3 linked regions of the Schizosaccharomyces pombe genome follow. The gene in region 3 interacts genetically with the main gene of each other region. Each region holds a gene or a part of one and is shown on either strand. Other genes may lie near its edges.

The links.
Region 1: of fkh2 (region 3) and sep1, a mutation in one rescues a mutant of the other (synthetic rescue), as found in Schizosaccharomyces pombe (2 studies listed by BioGRID, with this or other methods).
Region 2: mutations in fkh2 (region 3) and cdc25 are lethal when combined (synthetic lethality), as found in Schizosaccharomyces pombe (2 studies listed by BioGRID, with this or other methods).

Annotation. Positions count from the first base shown.
Region 1 is NC_003423.3:3,133,388-3,141,856, reverse strand, and holds the start of sep1 (DNA-binding forkhead transcription factor Sep1), read left to right. Parts: upstream 1-5,752; 5' UTR 5,753-6,370; coding exon 6,371-8,362; 3' UTR 8,363-8,469. Other genes in the region: ade1 (phosphoribosylamine-glycine ligase/phosphoribosylformylglycinamidine cyclo-ligase), read right to left, coding at 1-1,135; thr1 (homoserine kinase), read left to right, coding at 2,290-3,306; dss4 (guanyl-nucleotide exchange factor), read right to left, coding at 3,949-4,251. UniProt on the Schizosaccharomyces pombe protein: Required for promoter sequence element PCB-driven, M-phase-specific transcription. Acts as a transcriptional activator with a role in the regulation of mitosis. Regulates septation and the periodic transcription of cdc15.
Region 2 is NC_003424.3:480,419-484,018, forward strand, and holds the start of cdc25 (protein tyrosine phosphatase (M phase inducer) Cdc25), read right to left. Parts: upstream 1,956-3,600; 5' UTR 1,868-1,955; exon of another isoform or gene 1,768-1,867; 5' UTR 1,123-1,767; coding exon 1-1,122. Other genes in the region: hxk1 (hexokinase 1), read right to left, coding at 3,029-3,600.
Region 3 is NC_003423.3:4,240,796-4,244,395, forward strand, and holds the start of fkh2 (DNA-binding forkhead transcription factor Fkh2), read right to left. Parts: upstream 1,924-3,600; 5' UTR 1,868-1,923; coding exon 1,356-1,867; exon of another isoform or gene 1,064-1,355; coding exon 1-1,063. Other genes in the region: regulatory protein ntu1, read left to right, coding at 3,205-3,294, 3,565-3,595. UniProt on the Schizosaccharomyces pombe protein: Required for promoter sequence element PCB-driven, M-phase-specific transcription. Acts as a transcriptional activator with a role in the regulation of mitosis. Binds, cooperatively with mcm1, the CLB cluster regulatory elements throughout the cell cycle.

The sequences.
Region 1 (8,469 bases), 1.1 Mb from region 3:
TGCCATCACGGATTGAGGTACCAGCATGAAAAATACGAGTATTTTTGTCTTTTAGGGCATCAAAAGTAATGATATCACCTTTATTATATGGTCCAGGATATCCACCGGCAACGCAAACAACAGCGCAACTAAATTTACGCGAAATGACAATATCTATAGCATCCAAGCGATGGTTCACACAGGCAAGGATAATCTCAGCCAAATCGGATTCCAAAAGGGGTAATACTGCTTGAGTCTCGGGGTCACCAAAACGAACATTATACTCCAAGACACGGGGGCCAGAGGGAGTAAGCATTAATCCAGTAAATAAAATACCTACTAATGGATAACCTTCATGACGCATTCCATCGATGGTAGGCTGTATAATGGTGGATTGGACCGTTTCAAGTAGTTTGGGGCTAGCTACAGGAGTAGGAGCATAGCAACCCATACCTCCAGTGTTGGGACCCTTATCACCATCGAAAGCACGTTTATGATCTTGAGCAGGAGGAAGCGAACGACAAGTATAACCATCAGAAAATGTCAAGATAGATAATTCTTCACCCTCCAACAGCTCCTCGATAACCACATTTTTACCAGCAGATCCAAACTCTTCATTTAACATGATGCTTTCTAAAGCTTCAAAGGCTTCTTTTTTAGTTTTCGGAATGATTACACCTTTTCCAGCAGCAAGTCCATCAGCTTTGATGACTACATCAAAGGTGCATGTATCCAAAAAGCTTTTTGCATGATCATAATTGGAAAAGGACTTATATACAGCTGTAGGAATATTGTTTCGATGCATAAAATCTTTAGAAAAAACCTTGCTACCTTCCATACGAGCAGCTAATGCAGATGGACCAAAGCATGGGATACCCACACGACGAAAATGACCTTCAATACCTTCTACCAAAGGGAGTTCAGGCCCAGGAATGACAAGATTTACATCTTTATCAAGCGCAAATTTGACAAGTTGCTCAAAATCGCAAACTCCAATGTTTACATTTTCCATCTTAGATTCCGCTCCATTGCTTGCAGTACCACCATTTCCAGGCGCCACGTAAACTTTGGAAATTAAAGGAGACTCACAAAGTTTCCATGCGATGGTATGTTCACGACCGCCATTGCCAATCAGCAACGCAATAATGGGTTCCATGCTTTCGTTACAGCGAGCAAGCTACCATTGCAAGTTAGTATCTAACACACTGACTGCAAAAAATAGTGACTTAAAACTTACAGCTATAATAAGAAGAAGCTCAAAAACGGCTTTTTTAATTAGCACGCGCTTGGTACTTGCTAGACTCCATTCGTGCAATTTCTGCTTAAGAGAAAATCTTGACTGTTATCTTTGTAATGTACAATATCGCTGCATCGTTTCAATATGCTCCGATTCTATAAAGTACTTAGTGTTGCGTTAATTTTCTTTAATTAAACATTCCAGATGCGAGCACAATTCGTTATATTACAGAACTTGTGTTGGTAGTTCATTAGAATAAAATTGGCGAAAAAAAAATTTCTCTTATATAACATATATAGATAATATATAACTGCAAACTGCATTTTGTTCCAGTTTTCCGGATTTCAAGTTGGTTTTGCGAAAAAGTGCGGGTAACATGACACTTTTCAAATCAAAATCAACTTAATAGATTAGGCATTCGAGTGCGTAATTTCGTATTCGAGTTAGGGGTTCGCTTATGGGGATTCCCGATGTGCACGAAATCTTTACCAACATCAAATTTTACCTTTTTCACAGCATTTTCAGCGCACGATAACACTCTTGTTAGCAATTTGATTGCGCACAATTTAACTTTTTATTGAGTGTGTCCGGTGATTTTGTCGTGTTAAATCGGGAATTAAAGGTAGTAAACATTGCAACTTTCTGGCAGCGAAAACTATTCTTTGCCTATATCTTCATAGAAAGCGAGGCTTTTTTGGGTTTTTCATTTCCTTCAAATTATCAACCTTTCTTTTTTATTGTTTTTACTTTTTAATTACGAGCAATTTGATTGTTGGGAATAGATACTTATTATTTTTTTGATCTGGAAATATTTTGAAAATTATCGGTTCGCGGTTATATTATTTTCGTAATTTTTGCATTTCTCTTTTTCCTTGTTTTTAAAATATTTCGTGCATATTAAAGCGATCTTTCAACTTGTTCCTGCTTCTAGCAAGCCGTACGATTATAGAGTCGGTTTTCTTCAAGTCAAACCGTTCATTATTTTTTACTATTTAACAGATATATATATATATATATTTAATTTTTATTAAAACAAACTCATTTCTTTTGTGGTGTTTGCTTTTTTTGTGAGAATGCAGAAATTTCAAATAAAAGTTCCAGCTTCGTCCGCTAACATTGGACCTGGTTTCGATGTCTTGGGAATGTCTCTTGAGGAATACATGACCCTTGATGTGGAAGTATCCACAGAAAGCGGACCTTGTGTCTTGACATATGAAGGAGACGGTAAGGAACACGTTTCCTTGGATGTCCAGAAAAACATGATAACACAAACCTCTTTATATGTCTTACGTTGCAACAACATTTCTACATTTCCCTATGCTACCAAAATACACGTTATAAATCCCATTCCTCTCGGTCGTGGTATGGGATCTAGTGGATCGGCTGCCATTGCAGGTGTTATGCTTGCAAACGAGATTGCAAAACTTGGTCTATCCAAACTGCAAATGATGGATTATGTTCTAATGATAGAAAGACACCCAGACAATGTAATGGCGTCCATGATGGGTGGATTCGTAGGTTCATTTCTCAGAGAACTATCTGAGGAAGAAAAGAATGCATTTTCTCCATCTGCTGATGATTTATTGAAAAACGAAGCCTTAACTTTACCTCCCAAGTCTTTAGGTACTTTTGCCAGGCTTCCATGGGCTTCTGAATTAAAGGCAATTGTCGTAATCCCTGAATTCCATTTAGCAACTTCTAAAGCACGGAGTGTGCTTCCTACTTCTTATGGTAGAACTGATGTGGTTTATAATTTGCAACGCTTGGCTTTGCTCACAACTGCGTTAGGCCAAACTCCCATAAATCCTCATTTAGTTTATGAAGTGATGAAGGATAAAGTTCACCAACCATATCGTGCTTCGTTGATCCCAGGCTTGCAGAACATTCTTGCAACTCTTAACCCTGACACTCAACCTGGTTTGTGCGGCATTTGTCTTTCTGGTGCTGGTCCTACCGTTCTTGCACTAGCAACCGGAAATTTCGACGAAATTGCCCATGCAATGCTTAGCATTTTTGAAAAACACGGTGTCAAGTGTAGATATTTAGTTCTTTCACCTGCATTTGACGGTGCAACAGTCAAATACTTTTGAATTGGATAACTATGAATAATGCGTTGCCGTATATTAACACGTGAATGAAGCATTTACATGTATTTGGGATTCCAATTATACCATATAATTATCATTCCTTTTTTTTATTTAATATCACGGTTTTTTTTGGTTTTTTCTTTTTTGAATAAAATATAGATACAGTTATAAAATTTTATGCTCTTAGATTATATCTCTTGTCCGATTTATATCTATCGGTAATTACGAAGACAAAAGCTGATTATATGTACAACACATTCACTGTGCTTTCTTCAAATTTTAAATTAGTGCTAAAAAAACATTGGTTTAATCGTAAGGTATATTTTGTTTAGTCAAGGTTAATTTCATTTAATACCCGATAAGATTAAAATCTAATCACAACAAAGGTGTAAGCTACAAAAGAACTTTTTAATAAGAAACAAACATTATAATTCCATTTAAATATACCTAATTTCGTGGTTACTATTCAATATGAAACCACAACATACCTGTCTTTTGTAAGGCCATGTTGCAAGTCTTCTAAAAAAATATAAAGAATAAAAAGACACATGGAAAAGACCATTCCATATCAAATAAGTAACGTTTACAAAAATATGCTATAACCAAGATAAATAGCACAGTTGTTTGATAAACTTATTATTAAGCTTAGTTTTTCTCCAATGAGCACAGCAATAAATATTCATTGTTCTTAGAATCATAGTAGCCCAACGGACCTTTTTCACAATCAGCACAAGCAAGTAATTTATAATTATTTGCTAAGGGTTTTGATACGCTAACGTTGTCGAAAGCAAACGGATCTTTTAGAAGAAAAAAATCGTCAGTTTCTAGATCTTCTTGTGTTTCAGAATGCAGCATAGCTGACATTGTTGGCCTCTTAACAACATCTGGACGTTTGTTATTAAATACGACTGAAGGGCAATGTTGACAAACAATTCGCAAATTCGACATAATTTAGGAAAACAATATGGTGGTAGTTAGTTAGTAGTAAGCGCCAATCAGCGTTTTTTGTGGATATAACCTATTAAAAAAATAAAAATACAAGAGAAAACTTTTAAAAGTTTAAATGCTAATTACAAGTTCTTCAAATTTAATTCAATACATGTAGCATTCATTTCCAAAATAGGTACTGACGTGTCTAGTGCAATGAAGATATGGAAAACAATGTTTTGCATTTTGACGATAGAAGCAAATCAATAATTAGACGCTGAAAACTTCTTTTTTTTTGACATGCTATTTGGTTTCATAAATTAACATGGCCTGGTTTTCACTATATTTAAACTTCACCACATAATTAGTAAGTTATTATAAAAGAAAACGCAAAAAATTTTTATTTGCTCGTCTAATGTGTTCTTGAATATTGTCTTTCTCTTAATGTTAAACGAGACATATCAGTTCGCCTGATGCATTGGTTCATATAGTAGTTATTTTCAAATTTAGAAATTCGGACACATAATTCTTCTATCCTTCTATGTTAAATACAGAACCTTTTTCTTTCTACTCAATTTGCTTTCCGTGTTGCAACCTTGACACATACTAAAACTTTGTACACAGTGGTTTTTGAACTTTCTTCTAGTAACTAAAATTTTAGAAGTACGGCATTGAAAGAAATATTGTAATCAAACTTTGAATGTGTGCAGACTGCAAAATTGGGAAATTAGCTTGGCACTTGCAATTTTCAATGTAAATGTGTAGGAATCGTGTGCCATCCCTTCAATTGTCTAATATTTTAATTGAAATCTATAGAACTACGCTATTTTTGCTCGAATTATTGCTACTATGATTACTTTGTCTAAATCCTTAATAAAAAGAAGTATTCTTGATTAGCTCCGTGAACTTCTCGATTCAGTTATGTGACAAAGAATATTATTAGCTTCCAAATATTGAAATATTATTATTTTATTAACTAAATGAGTTTCTAAGCCAAGTCAATTTATCAATCATCGTTATTGTTATTGTTGAAATAATACAAAAAATATAACGCATGCTATTGATTCTTAACCAAATGTATTAATCACCTAAAATTTGTCAACCACTAACTGATATGATTAGACTAAGCTCAACTTCAACTTATACTCTCTTTATAGCAATATTTAAGTTGCATGAACATCCGACGTTATTAAATATTTTAGTATGAAGATAATATTATAGCTATTCACTAAAAAAATATTTCATAACTGAAACTAGTGCCTCATTTCATTTAAATTTCTAATTATAGGACCTCAAAAAATAAAACAACGTTTTACTGTATGGTTAATACTATGGAACCAGAAATGTGTCAAATTAAGGGCATACTTAATGAAGGAGGATAATTGGCAGCTTAACGTATCATAACGTATACCCTTATTACTGTTAGTAAAATACTCACAACCCAACATCGTAATCGATTTTTCGGCTCTATGACATATTGTCACTAAAATAGAGGATCCGCTTTCACGAGGTGGAGATTTCTATCTCATCTCGTACACTCATATTTTGGCAAACGTCCAAAATTGGAGCAATTCGGAGCATTTGATACGAAAGGATATTTGACACGATTGTGTATCACTATTACAAATCTTAATATTTTTATGCAATATTAGTATCTCGTTGTGCATTTCTCTCGTTTCTGACAGCATCCAGTATTGAGTTTGTATCTTTTGCTTCCTATACTGTAATACCTATTTCTATAATTATTTCTGTCTTAGACTTAAGACTTTATTTTTGGTTGTAAAGGATTGTGAATTTAGAGCACCACACTTTCTTTCTTTCTTTTTTTTGTGCTTCGGAATCGTGCCTTGTCGTAACACTAGTGCGAGAATCCAAGGTCGGACAATTTTTTTTTTGTCCTTTGAGTACTATTATTATTAATTCTTTTCAAATCTTTGAATTTTGCAAAATACTTCATTCTTTTTGGTCCGCATACTGACAATCTATGTTTGTGTAAGTCCGGAGTATAGTAGTATTCACTATTACTATTATTTTCCCTTAATTGGTTTTCTCTTTTAATCATTATTATTATTGGCATTGCCATTATCTAACGGTGCTTTAATTTTTGTTTTATTATTCAATTTGTCTGAACATCTTCCTCATGAATTTTAATTCTACTAACCCTTATTATTTTACTCATGAAAAAAACCTTAACAATGCTTCTAAGTACTCTGAACTCCCAATTGCTTATCAGGAAATTCCTTTGCAATCTTTACCACCTTATCCCAAGGTTGCTTCAAAGTTGAAGGGCGTAGTTGCAGGCGGAAAAGAAAATAACATTGCATCTTTTCAAAAACCTTCTTCAAAAGCCACTCGACCATATATACCTTCTTATACTAGATTGACTTATTCTGTTCCTCCTCTTCCCATACCTCCTCCTTCGGAGCAATCTTTGGATACTATTATATATCGAAACCCTTCTGTATCTTCTTCTCAGTCTCAAGAACCGGAGGAGTTTTTCTTACCCCTAGATGATGGAAAGAAACCTCCTTATTCCTATGCTATGTTAATTGGAATGTCAATAATCCGTTCTCCCGATCGTCGTCTCACTTTAAGTGCTATATATGATTGGATCAGCAATACTTTTTCTTTCTATAATAAGTCCAATAACGGTTGGCAAAATTCCATCCGCCATAATTTAAGTCTAAATAAGGCATTCATGAAAATTGAACGTCCTAGAAATTTACCGGGGAAGGGTCATTTTTGGAGCATTCGTCCTGGTCATGAAGAACAATTTCTAAAACTAAAGCTGCGTAAACCAGGAGTAAATTCAAGACCAGCGCCTCCTGTTCAAGACGTTACCTCCTCTACAAAATATGGATCTTCTACCGGTTCCTCTGGATTTAACACGTTTAATACTTCTCCCCATATATTTAATCAGCGACATCAATATCTTCAGAATTATTATACTGCATCCTTAACGAACATTCCGACGATCTCTAATGTTAATGCCACAAATTTTCATCCTCTTCATAGTCAACAACCCTATGTAGATACCCCTGGTATCGATGCACCTTCTGATTTGGAAGCTAAGTTTTCCGATTTGGGTGTTTCCTCTGTCGTATCTGTAACTTCTCCTTTACAATCATGTACAAATTCTCCATCTCCTCCTTTGTCATCACCAGCATCCAGTGCTTCTCCATCTGAATCACTTAGGAATGAATCTTTGGGAATAAAGTCAGCTAAATCATTGGGTTTGAATAAAGATGATGCACCAGTAGAAGGTCCACCTGTATCACATTTGGAGAAGGATGTTGAAACCCCTTCAGTTCATGATTCCGTGTTGGGTTTTAATGACACTGTAACGAATCTCGGCAAGAAAGGTTTAAAAGATGGTACAACTAATACCCTACAGATCCCTGCAGTCCGTTTACCTTCTTTACCTAGCTCGCCTACCATAAAAAATCCCAGTGGACTTTTGCTAAAGCGATCAAATTCTATTGATTTTCCAACCCCCCCGAAGGCCTTGTGTCCTAAATTGTTTTGCTTTCGTGATGACATCGTGGCTGATGACTACACTAAGTTTTCTTTACTTTCACCCATCCGTTCTGATATGAGTGGTATCTCAGCAAGTCCGAATACAAATTTGAAGGAGCATCGAACTCGTATCTTGCAAATGCTGGCTACACCTGATGCAAAGCAATTATCATCTTTAACATCATCTGATGCAGAGTTTTGGTCAGTCACGCCTTTGAAGTCTTCAATTCTACGTAATGGAGATGCATCTAAACAAGTAACGCTATCTGAAAGTCCTAAAGGTGATAGCTTACTTGATGGAGGATCATTATCTTATTTTACCAATAACATTAGTTCCGTTGCCGGCTTAGAAACACCAAGCAAGCTACCCATGAGCAAGTCGTTTGATACCTTTGAAGATGATTTTTTGGATCCCATGGATATGTTGAGTTTTGAAAATCACTTTTCCGACTTTAATAGCAATCGAAAAGTGTCTCCTGTTAAACGTGAGGTGCGTAGAAAATATATTTCTTCAGCAACTACTATTCATTCTTCAGCCGCGCAAGATGATACTTACTTGCCTTCTCCTACCAAGAGGAAAATGCCACTTCTTCGTCAAACTTCAACACTATTCTAAATTTGTTTTAGCACTTATCTACTTTTTATCCATGCTTTATTTAATGTGATATTTCTTCGTTCTAGTTAAAGACTGCTATGGGAATTCCTAATTTTACACATATCTTT
Region 2 (3,600 bases), on a different chromosome or scaffold from region 3:
ATCTTGGCTTTTGAAAAGCCCTAGTCTTGTGGAATTGAGAAACATGCTTTGGGTACGACGAAGCACTGGTGTATCTTGCTCATCATATTCCGCATCTTCTTGCATAGCGAATGCCATCGGAGAAGGGGACCTAACTTTCAAGCTAGGAAAGGCAATATCTTTATTTATCTTGGGTAACATATCAATAGGTTTAATGGGTGAAGCTTGAAAAAGATCATCTAAAGAATTATCATTGCAAGCACCAAAATCACTGTTGGGACGTTGAATAGAGGCAGCGTCTTCAACAAGTTCAACAGAGCTTTCTGGTAAATCAGCAACCTTGCCCATCGTAAATGTATCCTCATGATCAGACATTAATTCGAAATCATCCGTATCATCAGTAAGACAACTTTCAAGTAAGCTGGTCGTGTTGCTCGACTGACTACAGGTACGGGATAAGGCATAAGTCAAATGGCGGGTAGCTTGTCCACCAGAAGTTCCCTTCTTTTTGTTAATGGAATATGAGGAACTCGATCTGGATCGCAAAAATGGGGGTGCGTTGCCTGATGATCGAGAACGTGAGACGTTAGGACGAAGGTAGGAATCAAAAGAAGAACTCGATAATGACGAACGAGTAGCTTCGCTTTTGGTGGTGTTTAATGCGATTGATGCTTTAGGCTTAAAGCTGTAAGCAATAGTGCTGGAAACACGTGGGGAATCTTGGGTAATGGAATACTTCGATGCAGGTTGCCGGAAGAAGTAGGACTCGGTTAAAGCGTCATTCGAGGGTGACTCCGGGAGAGGTGAAACAATAGTCTTGTTAGCGAGAGGGGTTTCTACAGTACAAGAAAGAGATCGAAAGAGCGTACGACGAGGAGTCGGTAAGGCAGGGCTTTCATCGATATGCATGTTCATTGACATATCAGCAGCTAAGGAAGATGCAGGTGAAGCTGTCGAACAAGTTTTTCCAAAAGGATCCACTAATGTTGAGGCAATGTGTTTGGATTTCGGGAAGAAAAAATCCAGCTCTTGATTTGCATTGCGATCCGACATCAACTTTAATTCACGGGCAGCAGGACGCAATACATTCCGTTTGCCAGATAGAGTGTTGGTAAAGGAAAGTGAAGAAAGCGGAGAATCCATTTTAGTTGAGGTTTAACTATTATTAAAAGCAGACAAAATGGTAAATTTAATTTAAACCAAGTACACTGCAAAAAGAACTAATGGGACGACACGACTGCAAAAGATTGAGTTTCAGAATGAGAAATCAATAGAGCAAGTAAGATAAATTATAAAGGAAAATCCTAGGGAAGAGTCAAAAGACCGGTTTAAGATATTAATGCCAAAGTGAGACAAAAAGAAAACTAAAAGAAAGACAGGATGAAAGCAATATAGCCAAATATTAAACAAAACCAACCTTTACAAAAGAAACCGGAAAGAAGTTTAAGTAAGTTTAGACTCCACACGACGGGAAGACCGAATAAAAGTATATAAAAAAAAAGAGATTAATGAGACAAAAATAGATGAGCACCAACGGTCACGACTATAATATAGAATATAAAAGATACTGTCGTTGAAAGAAAAAATGAAAGAAAAAAGAAAGTTAAAAGAAAGCAGTTGATTAATATGAAAACAACAGAATACCCAAAAGTTCAGACTCAAAGTTCGTTACAAGTAATAAACCCCCCACTTTACCATATAAAGGCTTCTTGAACAAATAACTTCAAGAATCCTATTAATTGCCTTAAAAAGCGTAAGCAATTGTATTATAGACGTTTCAAAAAATCACTGAACCAGCAGTTAGTACTTGAGAAGCATCAACAGGAATCCAACTTGAGGAGAGAAGGATGCCCGAAACTAACAGGCATCAAGTTCTTTTTAAACTTACAACTTTGGTATTCTTAAGAATAATATTTTCAATGTAATACACTTGATCTAAAGGAGAAGAGCTTGAAGCGCTGTAGATAGTTGAGGGTAGAGAGAAATCTCAGCTCTGCCTCCGAGAGGAAAAAAAAGCAAAGGTAACAACAACAATAAAACACCAACCAACAAATTCGAGTAACAGAAAACAATAATAAAAACAAATACATGATTAAAGCAAAGTTAAACTGTAAGCTGTAATACTTAGCCAACACCTCAGCCATGACAACTATTGTTGTATAGTTTAGTTGCGTAGATAATGCCGTTTCAAGCTACAATATGTCACCTCTTAATCTATTAATTATATAAAAGCAAATAATCATTTCATTAACAACATTGAACTAGATGAAAACACATAAATTTTTGCATCTTGTATGTTTGTTTACATGTCCATACATCTCAGCTATTCGATCCACCGCAGTTTGTCTGATTTGTTGCCCTAGCAACGCCAAATGTTGTGTATGTGTAAACAAATACATAAGAACAAACGTCAGGTAACCTGCTTGACAGCCATTAAATCCCCATAATCTCATACCCGCACTCCTGATATGTAACACGAGCAGCGAGATAAAATATGTTATCAGGTGTTAGCGAATAATCGTAACACGATGAATCTCTCTACTTCGGGACTCGGACTGTCATTCCGAATTGGAAAACGAGGGTGTAACTCATTGAAAGTCTCCCGATGTTATGTAGCTATGGGTTGATACCATTATTGTCGTAGTAGGCATATTTCGCAAGATAGTATAGCCAGTTGTCTTGTTAAACTCGGATATCTTCAACAAAGATACCGCTATTATTACACTTCAACATACAAAATATAACAAAACTCTAACCTTTATTTAAAGTATTCTAGCAATCAGAGGCAGATATCGTATCCACAGAAACACTAGAGCAAAAAAGAAAATATTTTATCAGGTGGAGCACCTTTTTGTAAAAACGCCCTGATACGTGATTAGTAGACAAAGAAAAGTGTAACCATAAAAATTGCTGGAACAAATTGTACGCAAAAAGATGGAGTATGAAACAAATAAAAAGTGCAGTATAAAACAGTTTGTCGAACACTTCGTGGAGTTCAGTGACACAAAATCAAATGAGTATCCGTAAAACCTAAAAACAATGAGTGGACTTAATTCTTAAGATGCTCGGCAAGAATATCAGAAGTGAGGGCCTTGCCTTTGGCTTCAAGAGCACTGACCAATGCAGCACCTACGCCACTACCGTCTTCGGCGGGGATGGTAACAACTTTGCTGCCAATTTCCTCACCAAGGATATCCTTAAATGCTTGAGCAAGACGATCCTTAAAACGAGGGTATAAGTTGTAGACACTACCATCAGTACCTACAATCATAGATGGCTTATTCATTTTACGAACAAGGGCGCATACACCACACGCAGAAAGACGGGCAGAACGAGTTCCAATCAATTCGCATGCACGACGAATGAATTGACGCTCTTCTTCGGTGGTCTTGAGACCATAGGTTTCCTCAAATAGGGTTTGAGTTTCATCAAGGTTCTCAAAGGGGTCAACTTCAATAGCGCTGAGCACAGAGGTATCCATGGCCAAGGGGTCACGAATCTTGGTAACGTCCTGACCGTTAAAGAGAGCTCCCTGTTCATAAAGGTCAAGAAGAATACGACGCAAGATATCACCCAAATAGCATCCAGCAATCATTTTCTCGTACGTTTGAAGACCGGGTC
Region 3 (3,600 bases):
CATTGTCGGTGAGTCGGAAACTGAAGAGCGTAACTTATTTACCATAGATTCTCTCCAGGAGCTAATCCCTTCAAAACCATTGACCAAATCAACACCTTGTAAATCATGTAATTGTTCATCAATCTTTTTCGGTGAAGATTGCTGTATTTGAGAGTATATCAAGTGACTATTGACCGGATTTCTGTAAGGTGAAATTGTGTCATATGAACCTACTTGAGGCCAATCGTGTGGATTGGGAACTGCAACATATTTCCAAAAAGGTGCAGGAGAAGACGTTGGATATGTAGAAGATCCAATAGGAGATCCAAATGCAGCCTTTTTTGTTTGAGAAGCACTATTAGCATCTAAAGCATAATCATGGGTGCTAATAATATCAGATAATGCAGCATGTGTAGGCGTTTTGTAGGTTTCCATTTGCTTTTCTTCTGCTGAGGTTTCAGCAGTCGAGGGTGAGCCCACATCTTTAGGAGTTGAAGGAGTTTGATCACGAGCAGATGTAGTGGATGAGGCTGGCTCCGCCGCCGGAATAGAGGTGTCCTTCATTTTCGGAAGGATGGGAATTGGTAATGATGGAGAACCCTCTCTCTTTTTTGCTAATAATGGCACAGGAGAGGAGGGCGAGCGTTTACGCGGTGTTTTTCTAGTCTTTGCAATAAACTCTTCGCGAAATTCAGGCACAATCGACCACTTCATTCCCTTCCCCTGCTCACCTGACTTCCGTGGAACCTTTCGAAATGCTTTGTTGAGAGATAAATTGTGACGGATAGAATTCTGCCATCCACTTTTTGTTGTGCGATAATATGGGTAATGTGTTGAAATCCATGAATATATGTTAGAAAGAGTCATCATGCATTCAGAAGAAGATAAAATTGCTTGTGCAATCATAACAGAATAACTGTATGGTGGTTTTTTATTATCACCATATTCAGCAGCATCGTTTACGGCTGCGGAAATTTCAGACTTTATAGCATCCTCCTTTATAGTGCTTTCGTCAGTTTGCTTTTGCTCAGCTGCATTGGGTAGTACGAACATCATTTGTAAACCCGCTACTTCGAGTATAGATCTAGTAGATAATTAGTAAGACGAAAAAGAAATAAAAAAAAATAATTGGCATAATTTCCTGCATTTATTTGAACTAGGACGGAAATAATTATTTTCTTGATAATTTGACAAATCCTTAACGCGCATTTATAAAATAACCAAACATTCGTTTAAAATTGACAAATAACACGAGAAAACCATAGAACTTATGAAAGAGTAAAGCATAAATTATGCGCTGCTGAAACCATCAATATTCCGTCCTGTCGCAAATCACGACGAACCAACACTATTCTAGTAAATGATTTTTAACATACCCACTTGTAAGCTTGACTGTTTCCCCATTCTTGAATAACTTGCCATCTACTTTAATGCCATTTCGACCGTAAACTGAGCAATTCCATGTTTGGTCATCCAAATCATATTCCACAACAGCGTGTTTTCGACTCACAACTTTAGAAGGACCAAAATTCATATCAATTACTTCTAAATCTTCATTTTTCCCCTTTGGTGAAGGATTTGCTGGTTCGCGACCAAGTATAATTCGAATTTTCTTAACATAATAAGTCCATGTACTTCCAGCGAATTTCGCATAAGCTTGTATTTCTCCAGAGTGTCTTTCCGCATTTTTACTGTTCGAATAATCATCGACCACTCTCATTTCGTGAGGTGGAACGGACAACTTCGCAATTTGGGATTCCAGGCGACCATTCAATACAATGTTACGATCTGTGTCTACATCCATTTGCTTTTTGTAATCTAACTGTTCTTTTCTCTCCTCGTCATCTGATATATGCTCAGACTTGCTTTCGAGTCTGCGAACAGTCATTTTTCCTTTCTACAGCAATTGTGCTGTTGGTGTGTGTTTATTTACACTCGTTTGTTGTTGTCAACATTCGTTTACCTTCCGTTGCCAGCGCTTCACGGTATAACTAATATTGACCATCATTTTAGATACATAGAAATTAAAATATACATTTTTCTAAATATTTGTACATTTTTTATTTTTGTCAACAATGCGTCTTTGTTATCGTTGCTATTTATATTTTTGTAAACAATCAAGATACCGGATCTTCGATATACTTTTTTAAATACTAAGCAGTTAAAAAAATCCTCTTAATATATTGGCGTAGGATTAACTTATAAAAAAAAAAAACTCAAACAATCATAACTCTGCAAGACTTGTAATAATTTTAGCTTTTCAGCACTCAGTGTTTTTTGCACATGTAATGGCGTCTAACGGTCGCGTGCATATCCTAGTAATTACCCTATTATTTAAAACGTGTCTACTGAAGATTTATTTTGAGAACTGTACAAGCTATTACATGAATACACTAAGAGTATTAATTGTGTTTTATGGAAATTCCGAATCATTATTTCGCTTTCAATCAACCGATTTTGTGTGGCTGCAATATTAACGCTCAACTGTTTACTCACGTTATTTTCCATATTTTTACTAACTACGCGATTCGCGAAGTCTCTGTAGGATACGTAATATTATTTGGTGAGTTCGTAGCGCACTATAATGTGTGGTACACAACAGAAAGTATTATGCAATATACAGTTACCGAACATAACTCAGGCACGGAGAGACTTTGATATTATAATAAATAATATGTGGCTTACATGAACAGACAAACTTGATCTTGAATGATCTTTATTTCCCATACTTTTTTCTTCAGTAATATTGAAAATAGTCAATAAACGGCTTGATGGTTCCAGCTTCAGGACTCATTGGAGAACTCACACGTGAAGATGTCAGGCTTATAACGATATTTAACATACCGCAACAAAAACATTTAGCATGGTATAATCTCATTGCTTCACCTACACATGTATGCTAACGTGAAGTAACGAGTAATTACTATTTAGCGGATGTATACGATCGCTGGCACACACTCTCGTAGGTTTAACCTGTCGCGTATATCATCCATAATCGCTTCGCAGCGATCACCATTTATTTATTTATTTACCTATCTAAAGCACCAAATTCCTTTAGTTTCAAAGCGTTAAATTTTGAATGATAAACTGCATTTTTGCTCACTTGCGTTAACTTTCGGTTGTAAAAACCGGTAACAACGATTCGATAAATACAAATTAAAAGACCTGTTCTCCCTCAAGTTTGAAGTTAGCAGGCTTCAACATAGTTTATTGATAGGCTGCTGAATGTCTTCCGGCGATGTATCTCGTAGACAGCGTGTTTCTAGAGCATGTGATGAATGTCACAGGAGAAAGATCAAATGTGATCAGAGAAGGGTAAGATGTCAATTTCTTTGCTCTATTTATGTTTTGCATAATTTTATTATTTGAGTTGGGAACTGAGAACTCACTTCACCCAGTTACCGCTTTCTCTGAAGTTGATTGTAGCTTGATTGATTTCAGTTCAGCTAGAGAGCATGCGGATAACCTTTGTCGTTAATTTATTATTTTTTTGGCTTTTATTGCTCTTTTTCTATCTTATTTGCATTAATTTGGATGAGCGATTAGAAATAAATATAAATTTCTGTTCTTTACTAACTTTTTCAGCCTTGCTCGAATTGCATAGCATATAACTATGGTAAG